4 linked regions of the Saccharomyces cerevisiae S288C genome follow. The gene in region 4 interacts genetically with the main gene of each other region. Each region holds a gene or a part of one and is shown on either strand. Other genes may lie near its edges. The genes, in order: ILV3, PAD1, ARO9 and BAT2.

The links.
Region 1: mutations in BAT2 (region 4) and ILV3 are lethal when combined (synthetic lethality), as found in Saccharomyces cerevisiae (2 studies listed by BioGRID, with this or other methods).
Region 2: of BAT2 (region 4) and PAD1, changing one enhances a phenotype caused by changing the other (phenotypic enhancement), as found in Saccharomyces cerevisiae (one study listed by BioGRID).
Region 3: of BAT2 (region 4) and ARO9, changing one suppresses a phenotype caused by changing the other (phenotypic suppression), as found in Saccharomyces cerevisiae (one study listed by BioGRID).

What each region holds. Positions count from the first base shown.
Region 1 is NC_001142.9:463,072-468,775, reverse strand, and holds ILV3 (dihydroxy-acid dehydratase ILV3), read left to right. Parts: upstream 1-2,567; coding exon 2,568-4,325; downstream 4,326-5,704. Other genes in the region: REC107 (Rec107p), read left to right, coding at 1-221; TES1 (palmitoyl-CoA hydrolase), read left to right, coding at 495-1,544; peptidylprolyl isomerase ESS1, read left to right, coding at 1,743-2,255; YJR015W (uncharacterized protein), read right to left, coding at 4,523-5,704. UniProt on the Saccharomyces cerevisiae protein: Dihydroxyacid dehydratase that catalyzes the third step in the common pathway leading to biosynthesis of branched-chain amino acids.
Region 2 is NC_001136.10:1,509,060-1,512,130, reverse strand, and holds PAD1 (phenylacrylic acid decarboxylase PAD1), read right to left. Parts: upstream 1,230-3,071; coding exon 501-1,229; downstream 1-500. Other genes in the region: putative phenylacrylic acid decarboxylase FDC1, read right to left, coding at 1-37; glucose-inactivated glycerol proton symporter STL1, read right to left, coding at 2,417-3,071. UniProt on the Saccharomyces cerevisiae protein: Flavin prenyltransferase that catalyzes the synthesis of the prenylated FMN cofactor (prenyl-FMN) for the ferulic acid decarboxylase FDC1/ubiD.
Region 3 is NC_001140.6:374,117-379,315, forward strand, and holds ARO9 (aromatic-amino-acid:2-oxoglutarate transaminase), read left to right. Parts: upstream 1-1,592; coding exon 1,593-3,134; downstream 3,135-5,199. Other genes in the region: serine/threonine protein kinase YCK1, read right to left, coding at 1-194; SPL2 (Spl2p), read right to left, coding at 538-984; YHR138C (uncharacterized protein), read right to left, coding at 3,239-3,583; SPS100 (Sps100p), read right to left, coding at 4,103-5,083. UniProt on the Saccharomyces cerevisiae protein: General aromatic amino acid transaminase involved in several otherwise unrelated metabolic pathways. Mainly involved in tryptophan degradation.
Region 4 is NC_001142.9:703,409-708,108, forward strand, and holds BAT2 (branched-chain-amino-acid transaminase BAT2), read left to right. Parts: upstream 1-2,335; coding exon 2,336-3,466; downstream 3,467-4,700. Other genes in the region: YJR146W (uncharacterized protein), read left to right, coding at 477-830; HMS2 (Hms2p), read left to right, coding at 788-1,864; YJR149W (putative nitronate monooxygenase), read left to right, coding at 3,752-4,700. UniProt on the Saccharomyces cerevisiae protein: Cytoplasmic isozyme of branched-chain-amino-acid aminotransferase, which catalyzes the first reaction in the catabolism of the essential branched chain amino acids (BCAAs) leucine, isoleucine, and valine.

The sequences.
Region 1 (5,704 bases), 240 kb from region 4:
ACGAAGCCCACGATAAGCAGCGTAAGAAGTCCGTGCCGCCACCAAGAATGATGGTCACAAGGTCCATGAAACGCAGAAGATCCAGCTCCCCAACCCTATCCACCAGCCAAAACCACAATAGCGAAGACAATGATGACGCTAGCCATCGGCTGAAGCGTGCGGCCAGGACCATTATTCCCTGGGAGGAACTAAGACCCGACACTCTGGAATCTGAGCTGTGAAACGGGCGTCCTGCTTTTTCATTCTACACAGGCATATGTAACAGCAGTGTATAGGCTATGTAAATCGGCCCAATCAACAAACAAGCGTTGCTTATTGGACTTGCTACTACCCCAACAAAGGAGAGAGCCTTTGATTGCATCCTCGGAAGAGACGGCATAAACACCGAGCCTCATCCTACAATGAAAAACCACGCCAGTTGGATATAAACCAGAAAAGGGTTTCAATTCAGTATCCACCATGAGCAAGACAAGATAAGACAAGATTGCATAAAAATGAGTGCTTCCAAAATGGCCATGTCCAACCTAGAGAAAATATTGGAACTGGTTCCTCTTTCGCCTACCAGTTTTGTCACAAAGTATCTGCCTGCCGCGCCCGTAGGGTCTAAGGGCACTTTTGGTGGAACGCTGGTATCACAATCGCTGCTGGCGTCATTGCATACTGTGCCATTGAACTTCTTCCCCACATCGCTACATTCGTATTTCATCAAGGGTGGTGATCCGCGGACCAAGATCACGTACCATGTGCAGAATCTGAGAAACGGTAGAAATTTCATCCATAAGCAGGTTAGTGCTTATCAGCACGACAAGTTGATATTTACGTCGATGATCTTATTTGCCGTGCAACGGTCCAAGGAGCACGACTCCTTGCAGCACTGGGAGACGATTCCAGGCCTGCAAGGTAAGCAGCCAGACCCTCATCGTTATGAAGAGGCCACTTCGCTTTTCCAGAAAGAAGTTCTGGACCCACAGAAATTGAGCAGGTATGCCTCATTGTCCGACAGGTTCCAAGACGCAACCTCGATGAGCAAGTATGTGGATGCGTTTCAATACGGAGTCATGGAGTACCAATTCCCCAAGGACATGTTCTACTCGGCAAGACACACCGACGAGCTGGATTATTTCGTCAAAGTGAGACCTCCCATCACTACCGTGGAGCACGCGGGCGACGAGTCTTCTTTACACAAGCATCATCCGTACAGGATCCCGAAGAGCATTACTCCTGAGAACGACGCTCGCTACAACTACGTGGCCTTTGCGTATCTGTCCGATTCCTACCTCCTACTCACGATCCCGTACTTCCACAACCTGCCTTTGTACTGCCACAGTTTCAGTGTCTCGCTCGACCACACGATTTACTTTCACCAGTTGCCTCATGTGAACAATTGGATCTATCTTAAGATTTCGAATCCCAGGTCCCACTGGGACAAGCACCTCGTACAGGGCAAGTATTTCGACACACAGTCGGGACGCATCATGGCAAGCGTCTCTCAGGAGGGCTACGTTGTCTACGGGTCAGAACGAGACATTCGAGCCAAGTTCTGAGGACAATTCCCTCCCACGTATAAACACATACATATATATTCTTATATTATATAATAATATCCTATTTATTATTACATCACCTTTCACGAGCGGGTATCATACCTTTTTCCCTTCGATCTAAGTAGAAAAAGGACCTGAATGATCATTGTGGTACTTATTCCCACGCATAACCGACTACGGCACCACAACGACGCACCAATGCCATCTGACGTAGCATCGAGGACCGGGCTGCCAACCCCGTGGACCGTCAGGTATAGTAAGTCCAAGAAAAGAGAGTATTTTTTCAATCCAGAGACGAAGCACTCGCAATGGGAGGAGCCTGAGGGCACCAACAAGGACCAGCTACACAAGCACTTAAGAGACCATCCAGTGCGTGTAAGATGCCTGCACATTCTCATCAAGCACAAGGATTCAAGAAGACCCGCATCGCATAGATCCGAGAACATTACGATATCCAAGCAAGACGCTACGGACGAACTGAAAACCTTAATCACGAGGTTGGATGACGACTCTAAGACGAACTCCTTCGAGGCCCTGGCTAAAGAGAGATCAGATTGCTCTTCATACAAGCGAGGCGGCGACCTCGGCTGGTTCGGGAGAGGCGAGATGCAGCCTAGCTTTGAAGACGCTGCCTTCCAGCTCAAGGTCGGCGAGGTAAGCGATATCGTTGAATCAGGAAGCGGTGTTCATGTGATCAAGCGGGTAGGTTAGGTTGGCATTTGCTTCTCCACCTCACCTTTTTATGTTCTTATTCCCTCTTGTATCCATTCCGTCCTCGCTGAACCCATGAAAAGAAAAAAAATTAACTAGTCACATAGTTAAATGGCGCTGTTCTTCGCTGCGAGCGGAACCGGGCCTGAAAAAAAATTTTCTCTTTTCCTCTCCAGATGACTCAGTAATATAGTAGTATATTATATAATGTAACAAAAGAAGAGACTGAAGTTTTATTATGCATTGTAGCGCCTGTAATCTTTAGTAACGGATTCTTGTATTTTTTTGTAAACAGCCAAGAAAAAAGTAGAGATGGGCTTGTTAACGAAAGTTGCTACATCTAGACAATTCTCTACAACGAGATGCGTTGCAAAGAAGCTCAACAAGTACTCGTATATCATCACTGAACCTAAGGGCCAAGGTGCGTCCCAGGCCATGCTTTATGCCACCGGTTTCAAGAAGGAAGATTTCAAGAAGCCTCAAGTCGGGGTTGGTTCCTGTTGGTGGTCCGGTAACCCATGTAACATGCATCTATTGGACTTGAATAACAGATGTTCTCAATCCATTGAAAAAGCGGGTTTGAAAGCTATGCAGTTCAACACCATCGGTGTTTCAGACGGTATCTCTATGGGTACTAAAGGTATGAGATACTCGTTACAAAGTAGAGAAATCATTGCAGACTCCTTTGAAACCATCATGATGGCACAACACTACGATGCTAACATCGCCATCCCATCATGTGACAAAAACATGCCCGGTGTCATGATGGCCATGGGTAGACATAACAGACCTTCCATCATGGTATATGGTGGTACTATCTTGCCCGGTCATCCAACATGTGGTTCTTCGAAGATCTCTAAAAACATCGATATCGTCTCTGCGTTCCAATCCTACGGTGAATATATTTCCAAGCAATTCACTGAAGAAGAAAGAGAAGATGTTGTGGAACATGCATGCCCAGGTCCTGGTTCTTGTGGTGGTATGTATACTGCCAACACAATGGCTTCTGCCGCTGAAGTGCTAGGTTTGACCATTCCAAACTCCTCTTCCTTCCCAGCCGTTTCCAAGGAGAAGTTAGCTGAGTGTGACAACATTGGTGAATACATCAAGAAGACAATGGAATTGGGTATTTTACCTCGTGATATCCTCACAAAAGAGGCTTTTGAAAACGCCATTACTTATGTCGTTGCAACCGGTGGGTCCACTAATGCTGTTTTGCATTTGGTGGCTGTTGCTCACTCTGCGGGTGTCAAGTTGTCACCAGATGATTTCCAAAGAATCAGTGATACTACACCATTGATCGGTGACTTCAAACCTTCTGGTAAATACGTCATGGCCGATTTGATTAACGTTGGTGGTACCCAATCTGTGATTAAGTATCTATATGAAAACAACATGTTGCACGGTAACACAATGACTGTTACCGGTGACACTTTGGCAGAACGTGCAAAGAAAGCACCAAGCCTACCTGAAGGACAAGAGATTATTAAGCCACTCTCCCACCCAATCAAGGCCAACGGTCACTTGCAAATTCTGTACGGTTCATTGGCACCAGGTGGAGCTGTGGGTAAAATTACCGGTAAGGAAGGTACTTACTTCAAGGGTAGAGCACGTGTGTTCGAAGAGGAAGGTGCCTTTATTGAAGCCTTGGAAAGAGGTGAAATCAAGAAGGGTGAAAAAACCGTTGTTGTTATCAGATATGAAGGTCCAAGAGGTGCACCAGGTATGCCTGAAATGCTAAAGCCTTCCTCTGCTCTGATGGGTTACGGTTTGGGTAAAGATGTTGCATTGTTGACTGATGGTAGATTCTCTGGTGGTTCTCACGGGTTCTTAATCGGCCACATTGTTCCCGAAGCCGCTGAAGGTGGTCCTATCGGGTTGGTCAGAGACGGCGATGAGATTATCATTGATGCTGATAATAACAAGATTGACCTATTAGTCTCTGATAAGGAAATGGCTCAACGTAAACAAAGTTGGGTTGCACCTCCACCTCGTTACACAAGAGGTACTCTATCCAAGTATGCTAAGTTGGTTTCCAACGCTTCCAACGGTTGTGTTTTAGATGCTTGATGCATTATAGGCCCCAATCGATGAATATATATATAGAGATTCTCCTTTTCCATCATCTTTTTTGTTCGCAATCTTTTCATATATATATATATATAAATATTTATTATAGTCCATTGAATGGATAAACATTTATTTAAAAAAAAACAACGATCAGTATTTTTTTATTTGAAAAGTCGCCTTAATTATAATCTACGAAATTAACTCTGCTTTGCTGCCACTAAAGCCTTCTGTTTTAGTTTTCTACTAGCATACTTGCCAACAAATGGTAACAGTGCCGTATTCAAGGCAATGAGTGCGACTAAAATACCATAATTCCGACCCATCTTGCGTCTTGTCACGTCAAAAAAAATAACCCTGTAGATATCGATGACGTTGTGAACGGGCATCATGTACCCATATCTATAAACATTATTGTTTAGCGCTAATGGGAAGAAAGAAGGTGCAATATTGAGAATGACAAATGATAGGATCCAGAACCCGAGATACTGGGGTCCTAACGTAATAACAAGCATAACCGCATTTTCGTTAGCTCCTCCCGCAGCAAGCATGAAGAGCCACGTAGACATCCAATATACGACGAAGCCACCTCTACCAAAGGACTTGGTAAAATCGACTTGAAAGATGGCGGTTGTTGTGCAGAAGAACAAAGACGCAAAGAAAAAGGTGAACCATGACATAGCGATACGGTAAATTAAACCGTTGGCTGGTCTTAGCACTTTTGCCATTTCTACGTGTAATGGGCCGTACAATAGAAATTGGAAAAAAGTTAGCAGTAAACAGTAAACAACACCGATTTGTGTGGGTGCCAGTAGAATACGGTCTGTGAATGGTCTGTGGTCATAGTATTCGTAGTTATATTTACCTGCTGCAGCGATATACCTTGCATTGTTAGTTAGTGCATAACGATATACCTGGGTTATGTTTGTCAATAACGGCGGCAGATAATTTAGTGTGTAGAATGTATGGTAGTACTCTTCAATGGTCTGAGCAACCGGTAAAATCGTTGATTTTAGGTTTGTCGGGTCTCTACCAGTTTCATATACCACCTGATTAAACAGCGTAGAATTGAATAGTGGTGCGGTATCGTTGATTAGTGATTCAAATAGAGTCTCCGTGGCGTTTGGCTTGATATTAATGGCAAACCAGTATTTTTCGTCGTAAACCAAATCGACAACCTTGTCATTGACTTGCTGTGGCGTATTTACGTCGAACTTGGCCTGGAAGGTAGGACTGTTATAAATATCCCAATCACATGGTATTTTATTGATAAAAGTAGGCAAAGCATACGATATGGAGGGCACTACCATGGAACTGTTATTATCCAAAATTACCACAGGGGGTTCCTGGATAACAACCAGAAGCTTAACTTTGTGTAGATA
Region 2 (3,071 bases), on a different chromosome or scaffold from region 4:
AGTCTCTAAATTCTAAAGCTGGATTTAGCTTCCTCATTTAAATATATAAATTGACAATTCTTTTGAATTGGTGATGTAATAATGTCAAGAATAGAATAACTCAGAGGAAAAAAATCAAAAAGATATGCGGTATTCGTTTACATTCCTGATATATTCCTGATATCACGAGCTTGTCTTATAGGAAAAAGTACGCTACAACGGCGGTCACTTTGACATAAAACTACGTACGCAATTTGGACTTTCGTGAAAATATGCGCGAAGATTGAACTGCGTATCTAGTAAAATATTGTTTTAGACGATATTTAAGCTGACATTGAAAATGAGTAAGAAGTACATGTGTAAATATCTGGGTTCAATTAGAATGATATCGGGAAGTTCACGGTTTGTATTCATTTGCAACAAGTTCTGTCGGGGCTAAAAGAAATATAAAAAGATTTTAGCAAGTAACAAATCAACTCTATTAGTAGTTGAGTAACGTAATAAAATGCTCAGAAAAAGTGTTACTTGCTTTTTATTCCTTCCCAACGAGGAAAAGTGTCAGCGTGGATGCCAAAGCAGTCTAGGATCCTGCCAACACTTTGTTCTAATAGGTCATGAAGGCTCTTGGGTCTTGTATAAAACGCAGGTACCGGAGGAAAAATTATAACACCTGCCCTGCATAAAGACAACATGTTTTCAAGATGGATGGAAGATAAAGGGGTTTCCCGAGTAACCAGTAGTAACTTACGATTCTCTTTAATCGAAACATCGGCAGCTCTTGTAATTAAATCCTCTGTAAAACCGATTCTAATAGCAGCTAGTGATTTCATGGAACAGGGCACAACAATCATACCATCATGCTGGAAAGATCCGGACGAAATGCATGCAGAAACATCACGAACAGAGTATGTCTTGGTTGCCAAGGCCGCCACGTCATGCGGTTCCCAATCTGTTTCATATTTCATTGTTGCTGCACCCCATTTTGAAATCACCAAATGGGTTTCTACGCTCAACTCTTTTAGCACTTGTAGAAGTCTGATTCCCAGTGCAACACCAGTCGCACCAGTAATTGCGACAACAATTCTCTTTGGTCTTGGAGGCGAAGTTGATGCCCTGGTTACTTCCTTTGACAGTTTATGTGTAAGGAAAGATGGTGAAGTTGTAATGGTTCTACCTAGCAAAGGAAAATTAGCAAAAATGCCTGTTGTTTTGAAAAAGGCTATATTAGTTCTTCTTGGAAATAGGAGCATATCTACTCAATTGAAGCTGCTCAATGCGTTGGACTCCGTAGATTGAAATCAATCTATATTTGCAGCATTATGTTAAATGAAATTCTATCCATCACCAATCTTAAAAATGGGTCGAGTATACTTTTTCTGAGAAGTTTAACGGTAAACAGGAAAGGCGCGTCATTTTTTCTGTGCCAACTTTCCTTTTGGAGCATCTCATCATTATTTGAAAACGATACGAAGTGCTACTAATGAAACCATTTTTATGTAAAAAGGCTTTCAGACAGGAATGCAAAGTCTGTAAAATACATCCAATTTCTTGTCTGCAATTTATGTCATAACATGTTAAGCGTTTTGGCTGTCTTCACAGATATACTCTTTTCTTGTGCAATCGTTGTCAAGTTGGTTATAAGTAACAGCACTAGGTGATGTATGGTGTCCCTTGCCCTGTTTTTGATATGCCTATGAAGCGCTGCTGCGTTTTCGAGGTATGGCTTCTGCCGGGCTAACGTTCAAATTAAAGGAACTAGATTCTGCTGTTATCAAACCGACAAGAAGAATGAAGTGCATAACGTATGAAAAATAGGTCCTGTAAAGCTCTGGTAAAATCTTACTGCTCTAAGCGATGCATGATATTCATGGCTAATTTGAAATCTTGCTCTAAAACCCTTTTTGCAAGAAGAATATCATGGCAAGACCGCAAAAAGAGAATAGCACCATTTGCAGTGTTCGAAAGTTGGTGGCTTTTTGTATGTTGCAGTTAAATGATGGTAGAACAGGTTTTTGCGGTGTCCCATGAGAGAAAAGGAAGGAAGACATTCATAGAACATCCATGGCGGCACCCTGCTAAAATATCTTCACCTTAGTATTCAGATTTTCCTACTTCCGTCATCATTCGCTCCAATGTAATAACACGTCCACGTTATCAATAAAGATGTTTTAAAAATTTTTGTGGGACTATTATTGTACTTAAATAAATATTAAGACTACGGAGTCGGGCTATTTTATAAGCTTTTTATAGGCATTGCCGGCAAGCGGAAGAAAATGAAAGTGGACATATTTCCTCAAAAGACAGATCGTCTGGTGTTAAAATACTAAAGTTATGTAGTAATATATGAATATTATTGGTGCGGCAAGGAACAAATATAAACCCCGCAAAATGCTTTCTTAAGTAAATTACAAAATATGATTTGTGAGTTGTGTGTGAATCAACCCTCAAAATTTGCTTTATCGTTCACTGTATCTTCATTTTTGATGTTTGAAGAACTAGACGAATTATCGCCGTTAATTTGGTTATAGGTGTCTTCTACTCTATCTTCACCAAAGTCCTCTTTTTCCATTTCGTCGTCATAAGAGCCCAATGCATTGGCATGATCTTCGACTTCTTGTAGGGATAACTTGGGCAAATGGTTAGCAACTCTCCATGGTTGAGTGCCATCCTCGTATGCTTTAGCAAAGATGATGTCGATTTCCTCCAAACTTCTTCCGGCGGTTTCAGGGTAGAAAAAGAAGATAACTGGAATGTATAAATAATTCATAACAGCAAAAAATAAGTAGCAACCCCAACCGGACTGTCCAATAAATATTGGGGTGAACATGACAACCGCAAAGTTACACAACCAATTAGTACATGTGGAGAAAGCGTTTGTTGATGCACGAACTTTCATTGATGCAATTTCTGGTGGGTATATCCATGGTAATGATAGCAAAGACAAACCAAAGAATGTAATGAACAAAAATAAGCCGACGGCAGCACCTCTTGCGTTTTCTTTATTTTCTTTGACCAAGCATGCAAATGTAATTGTGAATGAAACTGCTTGACCTGTGGCACCTAATAAAAACAGCTTACGTCTACCTAGCTTT
Region 3 (5,199 bases), on a different chromosome or scaffold from region 4:
ACAATAGTAGAGTCATCTCTGGAAGAGTTGCTGTTGGAGTTGGCGGCGGTCGTGGCGGTCATCGAAGATCTTGCGGGCGAGTCGACAGCCTGGTGGTGGAGTTGTTTGTTTGCTTGTACGTTAAAATTTGCGTTTCCGTTTATATTGGTGAGGTTGTTAACTGCTAGAGTGGTACTTGCTATGGGCATGGACATGGGGAAGAGGAGAGCAGGAAAAGGGCCAGCGAATGCGCGAAATTTTTGTATGTGTCTTTTCTCTACTATGGCATCCACATGAAAACCAGTCACAGAGCACTCAATGAACGGTTTGCGTTTGTTGTTTGTAAGAAGCAAGCAGAAATCAAAGACCCATGTATACGATCGCTGATTTGTTTTGTTCTGTTTTTTCTTGTTCCGGCGAAAAAATCGTAAGAAACGAAAGGAGAACGAGCCCACAGGCGGGGTAACATCAAAAGGATTTATATTAGATCGTAAAGTCAATGCATATGTAACAGTACAGAGGTAGAAGGTATGTATGTGTAACGATTAAGAGATGCAATCATGATTGTTCTTCGTCAGACGAATCTTCGAATATGTCTTCGTCAATGACACAGTCGTTCTCCCAAAAGTCATGGGCGAGCTTGCTTAAAACGGCGGCAGCGTTTTGACGCTGCGCTCTACTTGAATCTTTCTCATTAATGTACTCGTTATACTCTTTAAAAGTTGATCCACTGAGAGATTGTGACTGCGATGTTCTACGTGGAGTATAGTAACTAGCAGGATTGAGCCTCCTGCACTCTTTGAGCCTCAATAGAGAAGCGATCTCCTCGGAGAGTTTTCTTCCCTTATGCTGGTGACCATCTTTAAGTTGTTTGTGTTGTCCTTGTGAAACTGCTGTTTCCATTTTGCCGCGTGGAGACATCTGTCCAATTTGCCCCTGGCTCTCTGTAAATACCCATATATGAACGTTATATATATTGTATATTAATGGCGTATATGTGCCCATGGGAAGTCATAGTAATAGATCTAGGCACGTGGCTGCAGTGACTCCGCGCAGGGCTGTACCGCCAAGGTAGATAAGAGAGCGGAGCACGTGGGAAAAGAGAGATACGGTATGTTACAACAGTCAAAGTAATGAACTTTCGCCCACGTGCGTACATCATTTACTATCTCAGGCCGCTGCGTTTGGAACTTTACGGCGTTGTAGTTGTAATTGCCATAACTGCCATGCATTTATGTATATATATTTTCGTACGTAATGAACATGGTTATGTTATATATTGTTTGCAATCAGAGAGAAGTTGAAGAGGAGAAAAAAAAAAAGAGAGAGCCGTACCGCAATAAAATGGACCCTTGTCGGTCACGTGAGCAAAAATACTATTGCCGCCGACGGCCGTAGATAATAACAAAGGAATAAAAAAAAAAAAGCGGTAACTCGCGGAAGCATTGCCGATGCTTACCGAGATTTGCCGCGGATAACCGAACCATCATTGGGGTAGGAAACATTATAAATATTTGATATATATAAAGGAAAAAGCTTGATTTGGTCTTGTAATATCCCAGTGTAAACATAAAAATACACACATACCACAATTACACTCTCTCATCGACTCAATGACTGCTGGTTCTGCCCCCCCTGTTGATTACACTTCCTTAAAGAAGAACTTCCAACCGTTTCTCTCCAGAAGAGTAGAAAATAGATCTCTGAAAAGCTTTTGGGATGCTTCTGATATCTCAGATGACGTCATTGAGCTAGCTGGTGGAATGCCAAACGAGAGATTTTTTCCTATCGAATCTATGGATTTGAAAATATCAAAAGTTCCTTTTAATGATAACCCAAAATGGCATAATTCGTTTACCACGGCGCATTTGGACTTGGGATCCCCCAGTGAGCTACCCATTGCACGTTCTTTCCAATATGCAGAAACCAAGGGTTTACCCCCTCTCTTACATTTTGTTAAAGATTTTGTGTCCAGAATTAATCGCCCAGCCTTTTCCGATGAGACGGAGTCTAACTGGGATGTCATCCTTTCTGGCGGGTCCAACGATTCAATGTTTAAGGTTTTTGAAACAATTTGCGACGAATCGACCACTGTGATGATTGAAGAGTTTACTTTCACCCCGGCTATGTCCAATGTGGAGGCTACAGGAGCAAAAGTCATCCCCATCAAGATGAACCTGACCTTCGACAGAGAGTCCCAGGGTATTGATGTCGAATATCTAACGCAGTTGCTCGATAATTGGTCAACTGGACCATACAAAGACTTAAACAAGCCAAGGGTCCTATATACCATTGCAACGGGCCAAAATCCTACCGGGATGTCTGTCCCCCAGTGGAAAAGAGAGAAAATTTACCAGTTGGCCCAAAGACACGATTTCCTCATTGTTGAAGATGATCCCTACGGTTATCTGTACTTTCCTTCCTATAATCCGCAAGAGCCATTAGAAAACCCTTACCATTCTAGCGACCTGACTACTGAACGGTATTTGAATGATTTTTTAATGAAATCATTCTTGACTTTGGATACAGATGCCCGTGTCATCCGTTTGGAGACTTTTTCTAAAATTTTTGCTCCTGGATTAAGGTTATCCTTCATCGTTGCTAATAAATTCCTTTTGCAAAAAATCTTGGATTTGGCCGACATTACTACAAGGGCCCCCAGTGGTACCTCACAAGCTATTGTTTATTCTACAATAAAGGCAATGGCTGAGTCCAACTTATCGTCCTCTCTTTCTATGAAAGAAGCAATGTTTGAGGGTTGGATAAGATGGATAATGCAGATTGCTTCTAAATACAATCATAGGAAAAATCTTACTTTGAAAGCCTTATACGAAACAGAATCTTACCAAGCTGGTCAGTTTACCGTTATGGAACCCTCCGCGGGTATGTTCATCATTATTAAAATCAATTGGGGGAATTTCGATAGACCTGACGATTTGCCGCAACAGATGGATATTTTAGATAAGTTCTTGCTGAAGAATGGTGTTAAAGTAGTGCTTGGTTATAAAATGGCTGTTTGCCCAAATTATTCAAAGCAGAATTCAGATTTTCTAAGACTCACCATCGCCTATGCAAGGGATGATGATCAGTTGATTGAAGCTTCCAAAAGAATCGGTAGTGGCATAAAAGAATTTTTTGACAACTATAAAAGTTGAACAGTGAAGATTAAACCTATGTGTTATTTGCATATCATATATAAATTGTAGTTTTTTGTATAAAAGTTGGGAAAAAGTTATAGTCGCGTATATTTTAAATTACTCTAAGCAACTAAATGGTCACGGTTTAGAGCATGAACTTCTGAATCCTTTTCCAAATTGCATTTAGCACCGTACTCGCTTTCAATATAGCTCAAACGTTCTTTCAGACCGTCCAAAATTTGGTCGCTATCAGGTAAGTCCACTGTAAAGCCCTTTATCAAGCTATATTCGTGTGTTATTTTACCCCCTATGTCCACCACATATTTTTTGACATCTTCAATAATGCTATTCTGGTCCGTAGCCATATTATCCGTCTTGGGGAAAGTTACGATGTATGATGATAAGGAAGATGCCTGTGCCATGGAGAATATGCTAATGAAAATCAAAACTAAGTAACTGGCCTTCATATATATGCTATAGTCTGTTACACAATAGATTTAAATGTTGTAATATAACGAGGAAACGCAACTTATCCATTTGTTCTCTCCATCGCATCGCTTTTTCTTAAATACTTTTGCCCCCCACCCCTTTATCCACTTGCGTTTTCCTCTTTTCTTCGCCTCTTTTTGGTAGCGCCGACCGATCTAATCGGAATAATCAAATTTAATAGGAACTGAATATTAGAAATTATTGAAGTCAATATACTGTAAAAACTATAAATCCTGTAACGAACATAAAAAAAGAAAACATAAAGGAAGCGCGTGATGTATCAGTAACATCACATAGTACAATAAAAAAGAAAGAGAACACTGATAATAACTGTACTGAAGACAAACAATTAGGAAAGTAACGACGATCTTTCTTTCGTCCAGTCATCATAACAATATGTGTTTTTGTTTTTGTTTTTGTTTTTGTTTTTGTTTTTGTTTTTGTTTTTATTTTATTTATTTTTTGCTTATTTTCGTAGTACACAACACATAATCATCTTATTGTTGACTAACAGGGAAGATTTGTTGTAACTCGCTACTACTTGTGACTTGATTATGGATAGCAATAGACAACAAAGTTTGCGCTTGGATTGGTGACAAGTACCCAGCAGAAATTGCACCTTGTGGAATACTTGTGTTACTTATGAACCCAATTCCTGAACCATCATGACCACTGGATCCATCACTTGCATAAACGACAGGGAAGTCGACCGATGTCCATGATGCCACGGTACTGTTGTGACTTGTACCAGAGCTGACAACAACCAAACCTTGGATACTAGAACTTAGTGATTGAATTAAGCTTTGAGAATATCCTTCTTCGTATATAATTGGAACCAATGGACTGGAGGATGATGAGGATGTATTGGTCCCGGAGGAGGCATTAGAAGATATTTGTGCGCTCGTAAAATTCGAGTATTGAGTTCTGATTGTGGAGTTGCTGGCAATCAGAGTTGGCTCACAGGCATCAAAGAACCATTGAACATTCTTCTGACCAGACAAAACGCCCACAGGAACAGTGTAAGGAGGGAAAACACCAGAATACACAACTTTATCTCTACCGGCAACCAAAGTGCCTCTACCTTCCGCGTCCGAACTACTCAATATTGGTACACCCCATAAGAAATTCTCAGTAATGACAATGGTCTTTGATGTATTAAAAACGATTGAGCAGAAGAAACTCAAAGTTTCAATGGAACGCCAGTTTGTGACGATTATAATGCCGGAAGACGATTCGCTTTGTAAAGTCTGATTAACTTGAGTAGCAATTTGGTAAAGTTGAGTGATGTTTAAGGTGGAAGTAGAGTTGAATAGCGTTGTGGTAGTAACGTTTGACTGGCTACCAGATACAGCAGGTCCACCCGTGATGATCACGGGGACCGTACCGCCGCCAGAAGTAACGTTCTGCCTCTTGTAAAGTGGTGTTGCAGAAGCTGTTAAAGTTGCAAGAAAAAATGCTAGCACTGATGTGAATTTCATAATAGCTGATTGGGTTCTTAGATGTGAAAACTGATCGAAATCAAATACTAGAGCATGATTGATAGGAACAAGAGAAACCAAAAGTGTTTTTAGCTTTCCTCCCAATTTTTATAGTA
Region 4 (4,700 bases):
AGCAAAATTACAGAATGTACGGCTGTTTAAAAATAAATAGTGGATGCATGGGTGCTTCCACGCGTCTCTGGGAAAAAAAACCAGGATATTTTAATGTTTGTTTATTTGTTTATTTCCTGCTGAACTGAATATTGAAAACATCGAAAAAATGCAGTACCCAGCTCTCCATTAGGACTTTTTACGTAATGACGAAAATGGACAAGCTGCGCAGGAAAGGACTACGAAAAGTATGCTGCCATAATGACAAGATAAGGCGCAACACACGTAATCATGACTAATGGTTGCACAGACGGTAGGCCAGGAGAAGGATTAGATCTCGTGCCGAACGACAGCAAGCTAGCTAGACTATGTTATCTGAGTGTAAACGAAAGCGCAGCAGTCTCTGCAAGAGCACGTGCGACGTGTCTGGTGTGCAAAAACCCTCTAGAGAAACATTGCTAAGGTTTACCGATGCAGGAAATCTTTAGTTCTAAAAGATGAAAGTCGGAAAAGCCAAAAAGAAACCGGAAATCTTCTCTGCGCATTGTTCTGTGGCCACGGCCTTCCTGGACCCGTCCTTCTTTTACCCGAACTTTGTCGCCCAAAAGGCATCTCATTATAATGACAAAACTGGATCTGCAAATATTTGGACATATATCTCCAGAACGGGCTCACTTCTCCTCTTCACCCAGGTGGTATATAGGAAGAGTAAGTGGACGCATCAGTCCGCGACATTTGCGGACTGTATATATTGCCAGTCAGGGCAGTCGCCAAGTGTGTCTCTTTCGTGTAGCGACGCACGTCAGACATGGATGCAACATCGAGGATGGAGCAGCCTGATGTCTTTGTAAGCAAACTCTACCACCTGCTGCAGGGGAACGCTTACTCGAACATAATACAATGGTCGACTGATGGCAGCAAGCTCGTCATTTGGAATCCGGACCAGTTCACCAAAGTCATCCTAGAGCGATTTTTTGGTATTCACACCTTTGCAGCATTCGTTAAGCAATTGAGCAAATATAACTTCCAGAAGGCGGGCCGCCCGGACTGCGTGGAGTTTTCCAACATTCATTTTCAAAAAGATAACATTAATAGCCTCTCACTGGTTAAAGCTCATCAGTCTGCCGCCACTCCCAATGTCGCCGCCGTCAATAATATGAATAAGCAGTGTACTTTTCACTGGGACCCTTTCAAAGTGAACTCCATTCTAAGCAAGGCCATCGGCAAGCCTTCCTTCGAGAAATTAGTGAAAAATGTTGACAGGCTTCAGGGCAATCTTGATGAGCTTAAGTCGACAAACGCAGATAGTCTGCGTATTATAAGGGAAATTAACGCCAGCTTACAGACAATCTCCTACCACCAGTTTCACGCCTACCAAACCGCTAACTTCCTTCAAGAAAATTTTGAAGCCATCAAAAAGGTTGTATGCCCGGACTCTTGTCTACAACACCAGCAACGCCAACCAAAGCGCCCCAAACGCTACTCGTTGCTGTTACTAATACCAAACGCATCCGAATTGTCAGAAACACCTTTGATGCGCTTCGCCGGCGTGTTCGAATTTATGAACTGCTCTTTGGATACGGCCACTCAGTGGCACCCGCAGTTGCATCCCGAGGCATACGACCTTCTTTTCGTCACCGTGTCGCCCAACATGCAACAAGAACATCTCATCTACTTCAAGAGACTGAGAAACCTACTCCCAAGCTTTCCTGTAATAGCCATTATTAACAGACCCGTCTCCCCTCAAGATACCAGCATTGCTCCCTCCAACTACTCTCGCTATTATTTCCACCATTTTTTGCAGTTGGGGTTCAGTGACATCCTAGTTAGCCCCTTCACCCCAACACAACTTATAACGCTCCTTTCCAAACATCTTCGAACGTGAAAACCTGCCTCTGAGGGTCATTCACGACCTAGCATACCACTATATACGTGTACGATTTTTTTTTTCTGTGACCGCACTACACCAAAGTTTAATGTTCCATTGGCCCCGGAACCATTCTTGCAAACGGCGTTCTTTTTCCGCTTTCGGGTGACACTTAATTTAGCTTCTTTTCCCTCTCTGACACCTCTTGTTATCTAATCTGTAGATCCGACTCTTTTTCTTTTTGGTGTCGTTCTTCTATGTCCGTTTTTCTGTCAACAAAAACGGAAATAATAGGTAGAAATTAAGAGCCGTACGTGAGTGAGAGGAGATCCGAAATGAGCTGACAGTATAACTAATATAAGCTTACAAGATATTCGACTATTTCCTGGGAAAAAATTCATTCCTTTGAGAAATCCTTAATAAAAACAGACTAACTACTAAAATTTTAGAAATTTAAGGGAAAGCATCTCCACGAGTTTTAAGAACGATATGACCTTGGCACCCCTAGACGCCTCCAAAGTTAAGATAACTACCACACAACATGCATCTAAGCCAAAACCGAACAGTGAGTTAGTGTTTGGCAAGAGCTTCACGGACCACATGTTAACTGCGGAATGGACAGCTGAAAAAGGGTGGGGTACCCCAGAGATTAAACCTTATCAAAATCTGTCTTTAGACCCTTCCGCGGTGGTTTTCCATTATGCTTTTGAGCTATTCGAAGGGATGAAGGCTTACAGAACGGTGGACAACAAAATTACAATGTTTCGTCCAGATATGAATATGAAGCGCATGAATAAGTCTGCTCAGAGAATCTGTTTGCCAACGTTCGACCCAGAAGAGTTGATTACCCTAATTGGGAAACTGATCCAGCAAGATAAGTGCTTAGTTCCTGAAGGAAAAGGTTACTCTTTATATATCAGGCCTACATTAATCGGCACTACGGCCGGTTTAGGGGTTTCCACGCCTGATAGAGCCTTGCTATATGTCATTTGCTGCCCTGTGGGTCCTTATTACAAAACTGGATTTAAGGCGGTCAGACTGGAAGCCACTGATTATGCCACAAGAGCTTGGCCAGGAGGCTGTGGTGACAAGAAACTAGGTGCAAACTACGCCCCCTGCGTCCTGCCACAATTGCAAGCTGCTTCAAGGGGTTACCAACAAAATTTATGGCTATTTGGTCCAAATAACAACATTACTGAAGTCGGCACCATGAATGCTTTTTTCGTGTTTAAAGATAGTAAAACGGGCAAGAAGGAACTAGTTACTGCTCCACTAGACGGTACCATTTTGGAAGGTGTTACTAGGGATTCCATTTTAAATCTTGCTAAAGAAAGACTCGAACCAAGTGAATGGACCATTAGTGAACGCTACTTCACTATAGGCGAAGTTACTGAGAGATCCAAGAACGGTGAACTACTTGAAGCCTTTGGTTCTGGTACTGCTGCGATTGTTTCTCCCATTAAGGAAATCGGCTGGAAAGGCGAACAAATTAATATTCCGTTGTTGCCCGGCGAACAAACCGGTCCATTGGCCAAAGAAGTTGCACAATGGATTAATGGAATCCAATATGGCGAGACTGAGCATGGCAATTGGTCAAGGGTTGTTACTGATTTGAACTGAAGTATCGCTATTGCTACGTAAAGTAATTAAAAGTTAAAAAGAATAAAACTAGAGCGTTTTTTCTACTGAGTTAAGGGGTCATGTCAGAATATAACATACCCTTTGACATTGTATATATGAATTCCTGGATTTTGCAGTGATCTGATAAAAAATGTATGTCGAAACCTGCAATTATCCTTTCGTTTTTTTTCTTGTCATCTAGTGCTGGCCTATCGGTATCAAGGACATCTTTTGCGCGGATAGAAAAGGGCCCATACATACCTTAGAAGCAACTCAAGACAATTCATGTACTTTTTAAACCAACTAATATTTCAAGACGTTTCCGTAATGTCGGTGGATAAAAGAGAAGATATGAGCAGATCTTTCCAAAAATGTTTAAACTTGAGATACCCTATCATCCAGGCCCCTATGGCGGGGGTCACGACTATTGAAATGGCCGCTAAGGCTTGTATTGCGGGCGCCATAGCTTCACTACCCCTATCCCACTTAGACTTCAGAAAGGTCAATGATATTGAAAAGCTTAAACTGATGGTTTCACAATTCAGAGATCAAGTAGCCGATGAATCTTTAGAGGGCAATCTCAACCTAAACTTTTTTTGCCATGATATCGTTGATAAACCGACCGATCTTCAAACAGCTAACTGGGCGAAGCTATACAGAAAGTCTATGAATGTGCCGATTGATATGAATGAGATTAAATTCGATAATGGTAATGTATCTTTTAAGGCATTTGAAAAAGAAAATGCTCTTCAAGATTTTTTCCAGTACCTATCAGATGGCTTTAGGCCTAAAATCATTAGTTTCCATTTTGGCCATCCGTCGAAATCTACAATAGAATATTTACAAAAAATTGGAATTCTAATTTTTGTGACTGCCACCTCTGTAAGAGAAGTTCGATTGTTAGCACGTCTCGGCATTAATGGCATAGTGTGTCAAGGCTATGAAGCGGGAGGACATAGAGGAAATTTCTTAGTAAATGACCCCAAAGATGATGAAAACTTATCAACTGTACAATTGGTGAAAAGAACAGTTGATGAACTTGCTGAAATGAAAAATAAAGGTCTTATACATGCTACTCCCTTTGTCATTGCAGCAGGTGGTATAATGGATTCCAAAGATATATCATACATGTTATCACAGCAAGCAGACGCTGTTCAAGTGGGGACTGCTTTTCTTGGTTGCAGTGAATCCAATGCATCAAAAAACTTTTCAAGCCCCTTCACTCGAGAAACAA